2 linked regions of the Diceros bicornis minor genome follow. The protein of the gene in region 2 interacts with the protein of the main gene of each other region in a pairwise test. Links are inferred from orthologs where the notes say so. Each region holds a gene or a part of one and is shown on either strand. Other genes may lie near its edges.

Region 1 (7,509 bases), on a different chromosome or scaffold from region 2:
GATGGTGGGGTCCAGCCCTGATCTTCTCCCAGTCTAACTTCCATCCCTCCTGCTGCTGCAGCCCCATTTGGCTCCCTCCTTGCTCCTTGGGTCCAGCGAGAGCCCACAGCCTCCCCACACTCAGGAGATAAGCAACCTCTCTCCCCCTCATCCCTTCCCTCTTAAGCATCATAGGACATTTGAAAAAAAAATTGTCCCAATTTTGGGGTAGAGAATGAGGTCAGGAGGCCCAAGGGGGAACCGCTTGTTGGTGACAGCTGACAGCCTTCATTTCACCTTGAAACTCCTTCCTGGTCCGGGTGGGTGTGTCCTAAGCCCAATTTTACAGGGGCGCTACTGCACTGGGGGAAAGGGAGAACAGGAAGGGAATTCACCAAAATAGCATTTTGGGTCACGGTCGCTGCCAGGCCCATCCCTAACTTTGCAGGGCCTGGGGCAAGAGGACAAACGGGGGCCCACATACACGTGTCTAAATATTTAAAAGTTATAAGTCGAGCTAACAACCTGTTAAGGAAAATATGTCCTAAGCTCCCACTTTGACAAATACACTTTCATAACGACCAGAAAGACCAGATTCCAATTTAGATTTCTGACTCCTGGGAGTTTTGCAGGAGAACAGGGCTGTGTAGGGAGAGAGAGTTCCACTCCCACCCTGGCGCCAGCCAACAACCTCCCTTGCTACTGCCAGCAACTCTCTGCACCGCAAGGGACTCATACGTGTATGTGGACACCCAGCCTCACATCCCAGCTCCACCTTCACGCCCAGCAAACAGCCGCCCCTTAGCTGTCTTCAGTCGTTCCTCAGGTATGGGGGTGCACACGCTAGTAGCATAACCTGCCCTGAGGAGAACCGGCCCAGGGAAGAGGCTGGCATGGGCTGAGAGCAAGCTGGTGGCCATCTGGGCAGGGAGCTCCAGAGTCACAGGTCTGGAGAATATGGTCTTGAAGGGGACGCACAAGCTCATCCACTTGGCCCTGCTGACTCCTCACCCCACAGGGAGAGGGACAGCCAGAGGAGGGCCAGAGCGGAGCCCTTGAAAGCGCCCAGCGAGGGCACGGGCACACCCTCCCTTGCCCAGGTTTAAGAGTGCTTTCCAGACCCAGCCTTCCCCGGCAGCCTCCCAGCTCAGGCCAGGGACTGAAGCTGTCTTTCCAGTGGAGGGCAGCTTGGACAATCCCCAAACAGGACCTGCAATCTCTTGTATTATTTATCTTCCTGGAAAAATTTAGTGTGGCTTGATCCCATCTTGTGGATTTCTGGAGTGGGGAGGGCAGGGAGGTGATGACAACCGGGCATTTTTTCTCATTGGGTCTCTAAGCCCATTTGCTCCCCAGAGGCACAGCCCCAAGTGGGCTCCTGCTGCCCCTGGTCCCTGCCCTGCTGGGTCCCCTCTGCTCACCCTGGAGACAAAAAAACAGGGCGACTAAGAGAGAAGGAGGCCAGGGGCCCTGGGCAGCCCAGACAGGACCAGCGGAGATCCAGAGACCAGCAGGGGGCAGGGGCTGGGGGGGTGGTAGTGGTGAAGGGCATTGCTCTCTCTAGCCAAGTTTAAAAAAAACTTCCAACCCCCTCCACCACCACCCCTCCCGCAGACCGGCTTTGCTGTCCCACACATGAGGGGACACTTATACTGGCTGAGCCCTCACCAGGCGCCAGGCACTGGGCTAAGCGCTCTACGTGCGTATTCTCATTTAATCCTTGCAGCCACTCTATGAGGTGGGTTCTATTATTATCCCCATTTTACAGGTGGGGAAGCGAGCTCAAAGAGGTTAAGTAATTTGCCCCAGGGTACACAGTAAGCACAGGTGATGGGACTCAAGTCTAACTAACCCCAAAGCCCCCGCTGTTTCGACTATAGCACATAGAAGCAAGAAGCTGGCACAGAAGCAGAAGGGATGAAGGTCAGATATGAGACAGAACTTCCTGACAACGATAGTGTGTGTGATGGAGGGAGACAATGGAATGGGGAAACTAGACAGACACAGGAAGCTCTCCCACCTGAGGTGGATCTCCGTCTGTCCCTAGGCTTGTGATGATCCCTGGGAAGTCCATGGGGTCCTGGATGAATCCAGATGGCAGCATACTGACCTCCCTCTGTTCTACAGTCCTGGGTCCTATGCTCTACCCCAACCCAGCACCAAGGCCCAAAATCTGACTCTCCTTTGTGGCTCAGAGCTCTATGCATCACATCTAAGCTGTCAGCCCAGGATCTTCTCTTCCAGGAAGACTTCCTTAAGGTCCTAGGAGGCAGGACCCTTTTCCTACAGCCCAAATCCAAACACGGAGGGTGCAAATGAACCCCACATCTACTATAAGGCCCACTTCTGTGATCACCTCCCCCACTTGGCTCTGATACATGGACACAGAGAAGATCTACTCAGTCCCCAGGCTCTCTGGGTTCCCCAGGCCATTGGGAGGATCCCCTGCTCCCTCACCCAGGCACATCAGTACCCAGGTGTAAATGCAAGATGCAGGTGCCCTGGGGCTCACCAGGAAACCCAGGACCCAGCTCAGCTAGGCAGCGGCTCTTACCTCATTTGCCCACAGAACAGAAACCGTTTGGGTCACTCCATCATTCCTAAGGGAGGGGGTAGGATGCTTCCTCACTTGGATGAGGCAAACACAGCCGAGTCAATGAGGCTCGTTACCCGGTGCCCTGCAGTCACCACCCCCGACCTACCCTTCTCCAGAAAGCTGCGCGCCCAATGCTCGGCTCTGTCCTTTCCCATCCCTCGGAGCCCGCCCCGGCATCGGGCATAGCCAGCCGAGACCCTCTAAACTTCTCCAGAGTTTAGTCCCACCCGCTAGATGCCCAGCGTCGGCGCGCAGAGCCGATAGGGATGTCCTCACTGTCCTTTAGGGTCCCCCAGTTTAGAGACGAGGGCACAGGACAGGTGGAAGGGGCTGCTTTGTTCTCCCGCGCTGCCCTCGAGGTCCTCAGCATGGACCAGCCCTCGTCGCTGACTTACCTGCGGGGCAGAGACCGAGCCCGCCGCGCCACCTGCTCTCGCCGCGCTCCGGAGCGCAGCGGCTTCGGGCTGGCGGGGGAGGAGGCGGGGCCCGGCCCGGGGGCGGGGCCTGGGAGGGGGAGCCGCGGCTGAGCCCTTCTCTGAGTCTCAGCCGGGTGGGGCGGGCCAGCCTATGCAGGTGGGCAGAAAGCGGGGAGCATCTAGGTCGCTAGGCAGGTTCTGGAGCTCTGGCTTTTCTGAGGCTGGTAAGTTAGCATGCCTGGGTCCTGAGAACCTCACAAAATCCCCTCCTTCGCGCAGCTTTGCCCAGATGCCCTGGAGGCAGTGGCTCCATATGAAGACCCCCTCACTGGAAGTGGAAACCCCGGGAACCCCTCGTTGCCTGAGTTGCCCCTTCCATCTGAGTTTAAGAAAGCTCTCCCAGCCTGGCAAGGTGGGTGCCAGACAGGACACCCCTTCTAAAGTCAAGGTCCCTCATCTAGGGGTCAGCTGTGTATTTAGGGGCTCAGGCCACTGAGCAGACCATTAGGTGCCCAGGTCATCTTTATCATCAGTCCATCTCTCCCTGCAACACAGCTGCCCCATTGCCCCCAACACCAGCTCAGGTCCCTCAGCTGTCACTGTTTAGCCCTGGAATGACAGGCGTCCGGACTCCGTGTGTCCAGCCGCATTCAAGGCCACTGAGCTTAGCACCCCTGGGCTCCTGCCCCGCTTCTTCTGCCCCCAGTCGCTAATTTTATTGAACTGCAAAAGGCATGTTACTGGCAGAGGAGAGAACAACTGAAGGCAAGGTGGGGAGCAGATGGGCCAAAGAAGGGGCCCCAGGAGGTGGAGATGGGACAGGAGGGAGGAGAAGGGTGACTCCTGGAGCCAGGGCCAAGGGACACTAGAGATTAGGAGGAATAAGGGCCCTGGGCAAGAGGGGACCACTCTGCGGGGATGGAGGCCCAAAGACGATCTGGAATTTCAGCCCTCAATCGGACAAGAGGTGGTGGACGGATGAAAGAGGATGCTGGGAGAAGGAGAGAGCACTATTTCCCATCTACCCTGAGGCAGGACCAAGGACGTAGCAGGAGGGAAGGAGGTTAGATGGCAGGAAGGACTGCCATCCTGCTCTCAAATCTCTGTTTAGCCCCCTCCCTTGCTCTTGAAGGTGACTCCTGCCTGCTGGGCCTCTTACTACAGAAATAGCCCTCTCCCTGAAGAATCAACCTAGATCTTGCCTTACTTTTCCTTTCTTTCTTTCCTGCTAAAATGAGAACAGAAAATTTAGGCCTTTACAACTTTCCCCACCCCCATGCCTACCTGGACCCCACTCCACAAATCCTGGTTCTCAGCCTCTCCCCAGCCCAGGGGAGATGACCTGGGGATTAAGAGAAGGTAGAAGGGGGGGGGGGCATTGGGGTTGGAGCCTATTACGGGGTGTAGGAGGCAGGAAGGCCTCATTCTTGATGGCTCTCAAATTTAGACTTTTGATGCTCTCTCCAAATAAGGTTACATGGGAGCCATAAAGTGGGGTGTTAAAAAAAACTTTTAACATTAAAAATGTAGCACAAAGCAGATCAGTGGACGGGGAGAGGGAAGAGGGAGGGATTACAATGGGAACAATGAAACTTTTGAGGTTGACAGCTATGTTCATTATCTTGATTGGGGGGGAGCATGTAAACATTAAAACTTATCAAATTAGACACTATAGATACATATGTACAGTTTATTTGATGTCAGTTATACCTCAACAAATCTGTTTTAAAATACCACACATTTTCTACACCAATATTCCATTTCTTTACTTTTATGGGGAGCCTCAAAAAACAGAAGTAGCCTTGGCAGGGAAGGAATGTTGAGGGGCCAAGAGAAGCTGTGTTGATTCCTAGTACAGTGTGGCCATTGTCCTGCCTCAGTTTCCCCTCCATCCAGTGTGTATGAAAGTGTCTGTGTGGTGTGAGTGGGGTCTGGGGATGAGCTATGGCCCTCCAGCAGCTTCCTCAGCGTGGCAGTCTGAGCCAGCCTGGGCTCCTGGGGTTCCTCTGTGGCTGGTCAGCACAGTGCCCTGAGCTGGTGACTCAGGCAGGAGGGGCCGGGACCCAGGCTTTGCCCAGGGGAAGATGGTGGCTGCTGCAGATTCTCCTGCCCCCTGCAGCCTGAGCCGGGCACTGCAGCGACAAGGTGGTCAGTCCAGGAAGAGGTCCGACAGGCTCTGGGCACAGTGCTGCAGGTAGTCGAAGTCAGGCACGAGGAAGGGCACGCGGGACCACTTCTTGGCCCGGACCCGCCCTTGCGGGGTCTCCAGCAGCATGCTGCAGACTTTGATGACCGGCAGCTTGACTGACTTGTAGATTATCTGCATACCCCAGGCCTGGGGGAGGGACAGAGACAGCTGGGCGTGGGTCTCTGTCCTCGGACTGGGCTTTTCAATCCTCAAGCTGGGGTCCAGGAATGCAAGGCCTATGTCTCCCACCTCAGACTGAGAGCTATCACACTGTGGGCTCCCTAAGACAGGGGTTGGACCACTCTCCTCAGATTAGGGGCTCCTGGGACAGGGCTGCCCCCCCCCCCATGCCCGTGGGGGCACCTGGATGGCAGAGGCTGGGCCTCCTCTCTCAGACACAGGCTTCTGAACACTGGAGCTGAGGGCCACGGCCCCAGCACTCACCTCCCCACAGTTCCCGCAGCTGATGGCGCCCCCAGGCCTCCAGTCCTTGAAGGCTCTGTCCATGACCACTGGCTGCTGGGAGACTTTGTAGTAGATCCTGGAGAGGAAGGAGAGGGGCCACAGCGCCCATGGACACCCGCCCTGTCCCCAGGCCTCGTGCCCTCTGCTTGCTGAGCCTCTGCCTGGGCCTTGGGCCTTTCTGCCTGTCAAGAGGCCCGGAGACTTCCCGGGGCCAGGAAATCCGATCTTCAATAAGCTCTGCCTGTGCTGCCTCCATTGCACTCCCTCCTGCCCACGTTCAGGCCTCAGCACTCCCCGCCTGGATGATTTCAACAGCCTCCCGACGGATCTCCCTGCCCCATCCTTCCATCCCGTTCCATCCTTACTCCCAACCCCATGCCACCCTTCCGCCAGCTGATCTTCTAAAATGAGTGACCTTTTAGAGCGATCTTCTGAAAATGTAAATCTGACCCTGACATTCCCTTGCTCAAAATCCATCCAAGATTCCTCATTGCCGACAGGATAAAGGCTAAACTTTCAGGCCCGACCTTTAAGGTCCTCCACAGGCTGGTCTGTCTTCCTTCAGAATCTCACACTTCACAGTCTCTTCCACTCAAGTCCACCAGAACTATTCCTGTCGCATCACCTCCGCCTATACTCATCTCACATTCCAATCCAATCCACCCTTCCAGACCTAGCCGAAATGCTACCTCCTCACGTGAAAGAACCTGTGTGAAGATCTGGCACAGTGGCCTGGCACACAGTAGGTGCCTAATAAATACTTACTGAATGAATGAATGGAGAGAAGATGGGGGAAGCTTACCCTCTAGGGGTAGAGGATGAGGGGATGGCTCAGGGACAGCCAGCCCCTCTTGATGTCTTCAGAGTAGGTAGGACCCACGGGGCCAGCTTTGGCCCCTCAGCATTTGGCATCCTGAATTCCAGCTCTTGCTCAACCACAGAGTGGCCGTGGGAGCTTGTGCAAGTCACTTAGCCTCTCTGAGCCTCTGTTTCCTCATCTGTAAAATGGAGTGGTGATAAAACCTGTCTAACCAGACTATCGTGAAAGTGCAAACTCCGTGCTTGTGAAAATGCTCTTTAACTGAGGCTGGCCCCATGGCCTGAGTGGTTAAGTTCAGTGCTCTCTGCTTCAGCGGCCTGGGTTCACGGGTTTGGTTCCCAGGTGCAGACCTACACCACTCGTCAGCCATGCTGTGGTGGTGACCCATATACAAAACAGAGAAAGACCGGCACAGATGTTAGCTCAGGGCGACTCTTCCTCAGGAAAAAAAAAAAAAATTGCTCTTTAACTTCCCAAACTCTCAAAGCACTGTCTGGTTGGGAGGGATTCTCAGTCCCCCTTCACACTCCTCCCTCCCTCTCATCCTGACAGCCCCTACGCAGGTCTCACGAGAAGTTGGGGTTCACGTTGACGTGGTGGGTGCCCTCCACCTTCCGCAGGTCACTCCCATGGCCCACGGCCACCATGCAGTTGATGCAGAGGAGCTGCACCTGGTCCGCCAGGAACTGCTGCCGCCGACTCTCTTGCTGGGCTGCCCGGGCTGCCCGCTTGACCACAGCTGCCCGCTGCAGATCCCGGATCTGGGGTGGGAGAGGACACTATGCATGGCTGGGGCCCAAGACACTGGCCCCCAGGAATGCTCCTGGGGGGACAAAGGGCTCCCAAAGACCTCAGATCATTAGTACCCAGAAGGAACTTTCCTCAACCCTCCCTGGAGCTTTTAGAAGCAGCTCCGTGGAGGGGTAGTGGGGCAAGCTTTCTTGCTGAATCTTTGCCCCTGCTTTGGAGGATTTTGTACAAAGCTGCTTCTTTGAATCTAACATGGAGCATCGTTAGTAATTATGCTGAGACAACAGGAGTAAAC
Region 2 (7,362 bases):
ACAATTCAACAGACCCAACTTGATCAAACTACAGATGTGTTCCGGGTGGTCTCTGGCTAAAGGGCATTGACAAGTTAACAAACTCTGATGTTCAAGTTCACTGTTTTTCAGCTCTAAAGTCAAATTTTTAAATGCACTTGTCAATTTGAAGATCGGACTGATTTTGTAAAAACAAATTATACTCCTTTAATTCATAGGTATAAATTTTTATACCAAAGAATTGAGCTCATAGTACATATTCACTGTTTACAATTTTAAGGACCTAATTTAGATTTTAATAAGTATATATTAACATATAAGCCTTTACACAAGGGCAAGATAGTAGACTCTTAAGGTACATCTGGAAAAAAACAAGACTTGGCGAAAAGAATTTTGAAGAGAATCTAATTCAAGAACTTGCTAATTATTTTCCTTCCAGGAACACTAAACAGACTTCTGAGGCAGTCTAACATACTAAATGAGTGCTTCACAAAGTCTGAAGTTCATAATTTCAATTATCTGAGAAACAAATACATGAAAAGGAATTTCCAACTTAGGTAACAGAGTTGTTCTTTTTCACATTTGTTCTCACCTTTCACTTCACTGGCCAGTAAAGCCATAATCCCTAAATTAATCTCTGCAAGATGTACAGAGAAATGACTAGGCCAGTGGCGACTATGGGGCTACAGGTTGGACTTAGGGGCTCTATTCCATACCTAGCATTAAGGGGGAAAAACACTCCCTAATAAGGGAGTTCATAAAAACATCCACGAAACCACAGAAAAGTCATCACATTTAATAATTGCTATGTTGTAGTTTCCAAGTAAAGAAATTGGGAATCCAATCTTAACAGCATCCTCTCTGGGCATTTGGAGGTAATCTCTAACTTCTGTCACTTTACATGTAGGACATAGTGCCCAGAATGGTTGATCCTGGGACGATTAGTCTTATTTTTCAACCCTGGATTTGTACTGCTAGAGGCAACAGAACAGCTCTGGTAGTTATAATCTTGTCTCTGCCTGCTTTCCCAGAAAATGTAGAAATTACCTATTTGCAAAATTAAAAAAAAATCAGTCTTCATGAAATTTTCTTCTAAAAAAAATGAGTTCAATAGATGAACTCATTTGTTCTCAAATTTGTTTAAATAAAAGTCAACTTCATTATTTTTCATTGAGAGAGGGATGACGTGACCGGAAGTGAAGGAGTGCTTTATTTCCAGTCTTGAGAAACTAGTTAAACGATACTGAGAAAAGAAAAATATCAACTTTTTACATCCAATTCACTTCATTCTCATGTTTCTAAAGCTCCTGCTCTATTGTGGGTTCCAACTGTTTTATTTTTCTCCTTACCACTTATCACTTTCCAACATACTATGTAATTTACTTATGTTAATTGTTTGTCTCTATAGAGTAATGTTCATGAGAAAAGGGATTTTGCCTGTTTTATCGCTGCAGCATCTAAGCAGCGACGGCAGATAGCAGGTGCCCAATACATATCTGCTGAACGAATGAAGAAACGAATGAATCATTTCCTCCTGCTCACGATATGCCAAGCATTAGGCAGCGGGCTGAAGAACAACAGGAACAACCTCGAAAGTATTTAATGTTAGCAGTAACAAGACTCAGGTAGAGCCAACACCTAAGGCCCTCGGAGGTTAGCGATGCACTAAGTTAAACAATAAAGCAAGCCTCACATTCCACTGGCAATAACTCTGCAAATGTATGAAAAGCACCCAGGCAGGTGCTGTTATTGGGTCAGAATTAAGCGTCCTTAGCTCAGTAAAACTTCTAGCCCTAAAGAGTTTATTAAAAATTTCCACCAAAGTAATGTCCCTCTCTGCCTCCTCTCCTTGAGGGTTAACCTCGAAGTCTATCGTCTACTTCGCCGGCGAGAACAACGGCAAGAGGGCGGGCTAACCGTCGTGGTCACAGCCTCGGCGCTCCTTCCCCTCCGCGGCCACCAAGTTGAGGCGCTGGTGGAAATGGCCGCGGCGACAACTTCCTCCGGCTCCCTCAGGTCATCATGAACTTGGGCACTGACATGAGGATCCACCCCCTCCCCACCAAAGTGCGGGAGGGAAAAGAAGGCTAGCCAGCGAGAAATTTTGCCCCGCGAACCCGCCAGCACCAGCGTCGGGAACCCTCAACCGCACCGACCCGACGTCGGCCTTGTGCGAAGCCAACCCCGCGGCGCTCGTGTGGTGCGCGCTGATTGGCTGCCGGCGGCGCGGGGCGGGGCGCGGCGGCACGCTGCCGTGGCCCTTCGGGCCTGCTCGGCCTCCCGCCCCTCCCCCCCCCCCCCCCCCCCCCCCGGCCCCGACCAGCTCGGCGCGCACCCGGTGGTGGAGTGTGCGGTCCGACCTGGGCCACAGGTGGTCCCTCCAGGTCCCTCAGGCCTTCCGGTCCCCACTGACCAGTAGGGGAGAGGGGGCGTCGGCCGCCCTGGCAACCCCTCGCGGGGGGCGGCATCTGGCTGCAGCGAGCGTCGAAGACGCCGCCGAGCCCGGTTTCGGCGGGAAAGCTGTTTCTCCCGCCGGATCGGCTGGCGCACAGGGCCCGGCCTCCCGCCCGCTCCCGAGGCCCCCCGGCCCGCCTACGCCCAGTCGAGGCCGGTGGCCGCACCTCCCCGACCCCACGACACAGCCGACGGGCCTGCAGGCGGCCGCGCTTCGCGGCGGTCGACGGGCACCCTGTCCGCGCTTCTTCCCGCCCCACAAGCGGCGTCTGGGCTCTAGCCCTCGCCCTTCCCGCCCCTCAGGGCCGGAGTCCACCTCGCTCCCTGCCCGCTTCCCCGGGGCCGGGGCCCTGGCCGCCTACTCACCGCCCCGCACTGGCTCTCCATCTTCCTCGACGCCCCTCAGCCACCGGGGGAAACGACCAGAAACCTGAAGTTTGAAAGGCCCTCACACCGAGGAAGCCACACCACGTTTCCCGACGGAGCCTCTCTCCCCCTGGCGGCGGCGGCGGCGGCGGCAGCAGCTGCAGGGGCGCAGGCTCGGACCCGGGGCCTGAATCTGCCCCCGGGGGGTGGGGAGGGGCGGGCGACGACGCGGCGGGGCGGGCGGGCGCCGCAAGCCGCGGAGGGGCGCGGGCGGGCGGTTTCGGCGGTGGCCCGGGGTCGCCGAGCTGGGCCGTCCCAGGGCCCGAGCGTGCGGCGAGTCGGGGCGGGCGTGGGGGGTGCGGTCGAGGGCTCGGCTCTGGGGCCCCTCTGGGCTGCTTTCCGGCGGCCGGGGAGGAGCGAGCGAGCGCTCGTGCAGAGCTCCATGCGCCGCGCGCCTGTCCCTCTCCTCCCCTGTGGAGAGAAGTCGGCCTCTGGGACGGGTGGGCTTCGAGAGGTGGAGGTGACCTCAGGCTTTACTAAGGTACAGGACGCTGGCTGAGGGGCGACTTCGGAAGGCTGGTGCCAGGCGACGAGGGCAGTTTCCAAACTCTGACCCCCGGGGCCTGACGCGCCAAACTCGGGTGCTCCGGAGACGCCGCGCTGCACCTGTTGTCGCCGTCACTCATGCCCGCCGGGCGGGCGGGGCGGCCTGGCCGGGACCCGCGGAGCAGCGCCCGCCGCCCAGCCTCGGAGCCGGTCGGGAGGAAGCCACCGCGCCGAGGGTGAGGACTGTGCGCCGTGGCCGCGCGGCAAGAGCCACCGGGAGCCTCGGGGTCTCCTTTGAAGGAAAAAGTATTTCTCAAAAGGTAGCTGAGAATGGTATATATCGCCAGTATAACATATTGACGACGTATATATTATATAACCCAGTTGTAAATGATTACGACTAGGTAAACTTCCGTAATAATGGCGATGATGGTTATAGCTAGCATTTGTCAATGGCGCCCTTGGTGCCCGGCGCAGCGCTTCATCCGTAGTATCATTTAATCTTTTCATTCCCTCAGCAGCCCCTCAGATAGATGCTCCTGTTGTCTTCATCTTACAGGTGAGGAGATGAAGATTTGGAGTTAAGTAAGTTGGTCAAGGTCTAAAGCTGTAGAAGGTTTAACCGGGGGTCTCTCTGGCAACAGTTCGTGAACGTAAGCATTTTGACATATATTTTTAAAGAATCAGTCGTAGCAACTGTTAAAAGTTACGTCAGTAATAACTTTTGTACTCTCTATTTTAAAAGTTTGACTTTGGGTTATTGTACTTTCAAGATAAGGAGTTAAAAAATAAGCAGCGTGACTGCATTGTAATCTGTTCCAAGATCAGCTCTTCATGTTATTTACCAGAAATAAAATGGGAAACATAATTTTCCCCCCCGCTGAATACAGTTCAGCTAAAGCATCTTAAAAGTCATAATTTCTGCATGCAATTTGAGCTCATTTTCTCAGGTTTTAGTTTCTGTGGAAACAGAGAATACAAACCTATTCAAATTAAAGCATATTCTGGAGCAGAAGAATTTTGCTGTTCAATACCATTAGAACTGATTTCTTTGGGCATTTTTTTCCAGTAGTAATGATGGATTTAAGTAGATATTACTATCCTCTCTTTTGCCCAAGTCTTTTTCGACTAAAAACACTTATTTTTGAAGACTGTATTCCCCACAGTAGGTGTTCAGTTGGCGACACACAAATTAACACAGTTTAGGGAACATTGATTATACTTCAAGGCCTATGTTGGGTGCTAGCGGGATATACTGTATTTACAGTATGGTTATTCTCTGTTCTGCTTCTCTTAATTCTTAAAGCAAAAGGAATTTTTTATTTTAAAACTTGGGTAAATCATGTAAAATGATTCAATTCAATTTAGTAGACATTTATAGAGTCCTCTTATGGGCAGTACATAATGCTGTGTGCTGTGGGAGATAAGACAATGTGCAAGATCAAACCTTCATCCTTGAGGTGTTTTCAATCTAGAAGGGAAGAAAAAACTACTCCAAATAATAATTATATCAAAATATGCTTGTAATAAATAAGATACAAGCAGAATAGGGTAAGTAAGATATGCACTATGATCATAGGTCTGTGGGAGCACAGAGTACAGCTTTGAGGAGCACAGCGTCCAGGGCTGGTAAGGGCACCATCAAGGCTGAAATACAGGTCTGGCTCCTGTCATGTACCCAGCACTGGGCGTGGCACATTCTTTTTTAATCTTCTTAGCTTTCATCCCCTCTCTCTCCCTCTGGAAATCTGAGCCTTAGAGGGGTAAAAGTGACTTGTGTAGTCACATTGCTGGTAAGTGGTAGATGCAATTTTCAAAACTTAGTTCTTTTTGACTCTGCTGCCCTTGCACAGTGCACTCTGCCATGTTATTTATACAATGGTAATAAGGACTAGGGATTTTATTCTGGAGGTCTTTGCAAATAGAGGGCCATTGAAGGTTATTGAATTAGGAAGTTATAGAATCAGAGCCAAAATTTAGGAAGATATTCTCAGACCAGAGAATAGTTTTTAAGGGACTGGAAACAGAATTGAATTAGGAGAATACTACTCTAGTGAAAGTATTGGGGAGCTAAAAAAAAAAGTGGCAGCAATGGGAATAAAATACTGGGAAAGGGTTAAGAAGAAACTGGAGAGAAACTGAGACTGTTGGGCATGAGTGATGATGGAGAGGGATTGGTGAGGATCCTTCAGAAGTCTCAAGTTTCAGATACTGGGGATGACACTGACAAAGATAAATATAAAAGTACAACACATAACATATTGCAAACCTAAATATCCCATTTTCTTAGTTTTGCACTGGAATCTCATTGTCATCTTTTTGCTTCACACAGTCTCCTCAGAGCATAGTTCTTGTTTCAGGGATTTGCCCAAGCCTGCTCTCCTTGTTTGCCTTCACTCACTGGCAGTTCTTCGATTCTTGCTTTGAGTTTTCTAGCTACAGAGTCTAACTCCTAGTATCTATTTCAGGCAGTCCTTTTCTTGATAACCCTTTTGATGCATTCTCTAGGTTATAGGCCTAGGTAACCATTGGCATCCATCCTGTGGACCAGCGTTTACTCGAAGGCAGGGGATATGGCAAGGATTAAGACCTGGTTCTTGCTTGCCAGCAGCCCAGGTCTAGTGGGAGAAGGAGCTAAGTTAATAGAAAGTTTATAAACTCCATGTGCTCTGTGTAGCAGTAGAAGAGTTGCCGGGTGCAGAGATAGCCTAGACCAGGGAGTGACTTAACTTGGTAGATAAAACAGCATGAAAAGACATGTTTAGAAGATTCCTCTGCTTCCATCTTATTTCTTTCTTGTTCCCAAGTCTATTAACCTATTGTATTTTGGAGGATTATTAGGTGCTTTCTTTTTCTCTATGTTGGTTACATATTTGAAATAGGAGAGGTGAGTGATGGGAGTAAAAAAAAAATCTGCCTCAAGGAAGCAAAGAGGTCAGTTCAGATCTTTCCTCTACAGGGAACACAATACTTAACACTTAGAGAGTATGTTACAGAGATGGTGTAGACTAGAGCGGTATCTGGTGTATTGGAAAATTCTTTGTAAAAATCAATTGGTTTATTTGATTATGCTGTTTACTTTGAACAATTACTTAGACACAAGAATATACAATATAGAACTCACTGTGCAGTATAAGGTAGGAACTCAATAAATATTTGTGGAATAAGAGACTAAATGAACAGACAACCCTCACTCCAACTTCCACTTTTCCCCCACCCCTCACCATTTTACTCTTCCTTCTGAACTGAGAGTGAAGAACAATCAGTCAGTCATCGCCAGAGAACCTTTTTCTTGATTCATTCACACAAGTATCGTTTGATAATTATGCACATGTTTTCAGTTGCTTTTTAGGGGAAGACTGTATGTTTGGAACATCTCACTTGCAAAATCCTTTGAACGTTCTCAGATATTTCAGTAAGAGCAAATAACATTATTATATACAAAAATAAGACATACAGCAAAACTTCAGTATAGGAATGATCACCCAGAACATATTGCCCACTGTAGACTCAGGCCTAGTGTTTGCCCTGTCTTGTCCCCCTTTATTGAACCCTTACCTACCTGCTCTCACCTCCTGACCACTAACATGGCTGATTTTTATCCTCTTTCCATTCTTATCTCATCCTTAGATTTGATCTGTAGGGGAGGAAAAAGTTTCTCTTAACCTTCTTAGGGTTCCTGGCTGGGTCTGAAAATTAAGCTGACAAAGACAGATTAACAGGAGAAAAGCATAGAAATATTATTGAATTTTTACATGTACATGGGAGCCTTCACAAGAGAATGAAGACCTGAAGAAGTGAACAGAGCAGGAAGCTTTTATATGTTTTAGAGAAAGAAACAATAAATTTATGAGAAATTGACAAGACCAAGGGGTTTGGGCTAGAGATAGCAAATGGTGAAGAAGTAACTAGGAAGATAAGGGTTAGTTTAACAAGGTTTGTTTGCAGATTCCTCTGGTGCCTTTCTCTGGGCTGATAAGAATCTGTCTCCAGTAGAAGGAGCATTTATTTCCTGCC

What was found.
Region 1: the proteins of BOLL (region 2) and ZNF385C interact in a two-hybrid assay, tested with the Homo sapiens proteins (2 studies listed by BioGRID). The two-hybrid records come from large-scale screens. The link is inferred for Diceros bicornis minor from reciprocal best matches to the Homo sapiens genes BOLL and ZNF385C.

What each region holds. Positions count from the first base shown.
Region 1 is NC_080757.1:41,290,976-41,298,484, forward strand, and holds the start of ZNF385C (zinc finger protein 385C), read right to left. Parts: upstream 3,005-7,509; 5' UTR 2,971-3,004; intron 1-2,970. Other genes in the region: ATP-dependent RNA helicase DHX58, read right to left, coding at 5,141-5,326, 5,624-5,720, 7,035-7,225.
Region 2 is NC_080749.1:75,568,839-75,576,200, forward strand, and holds the start of BOLL (protein boule-like), read right to left. Parts: upstream 3,006-7,362; 5' UTR 2,821-3,005; coding exon 2,800-2,820; intron 1-2,799. UniProt on the Homo sapiens protein: Probable RNA-binding protein, which may be required during spermatogenesis. May act by binding to the 3'-UTR of mRNAs and regulating their translation.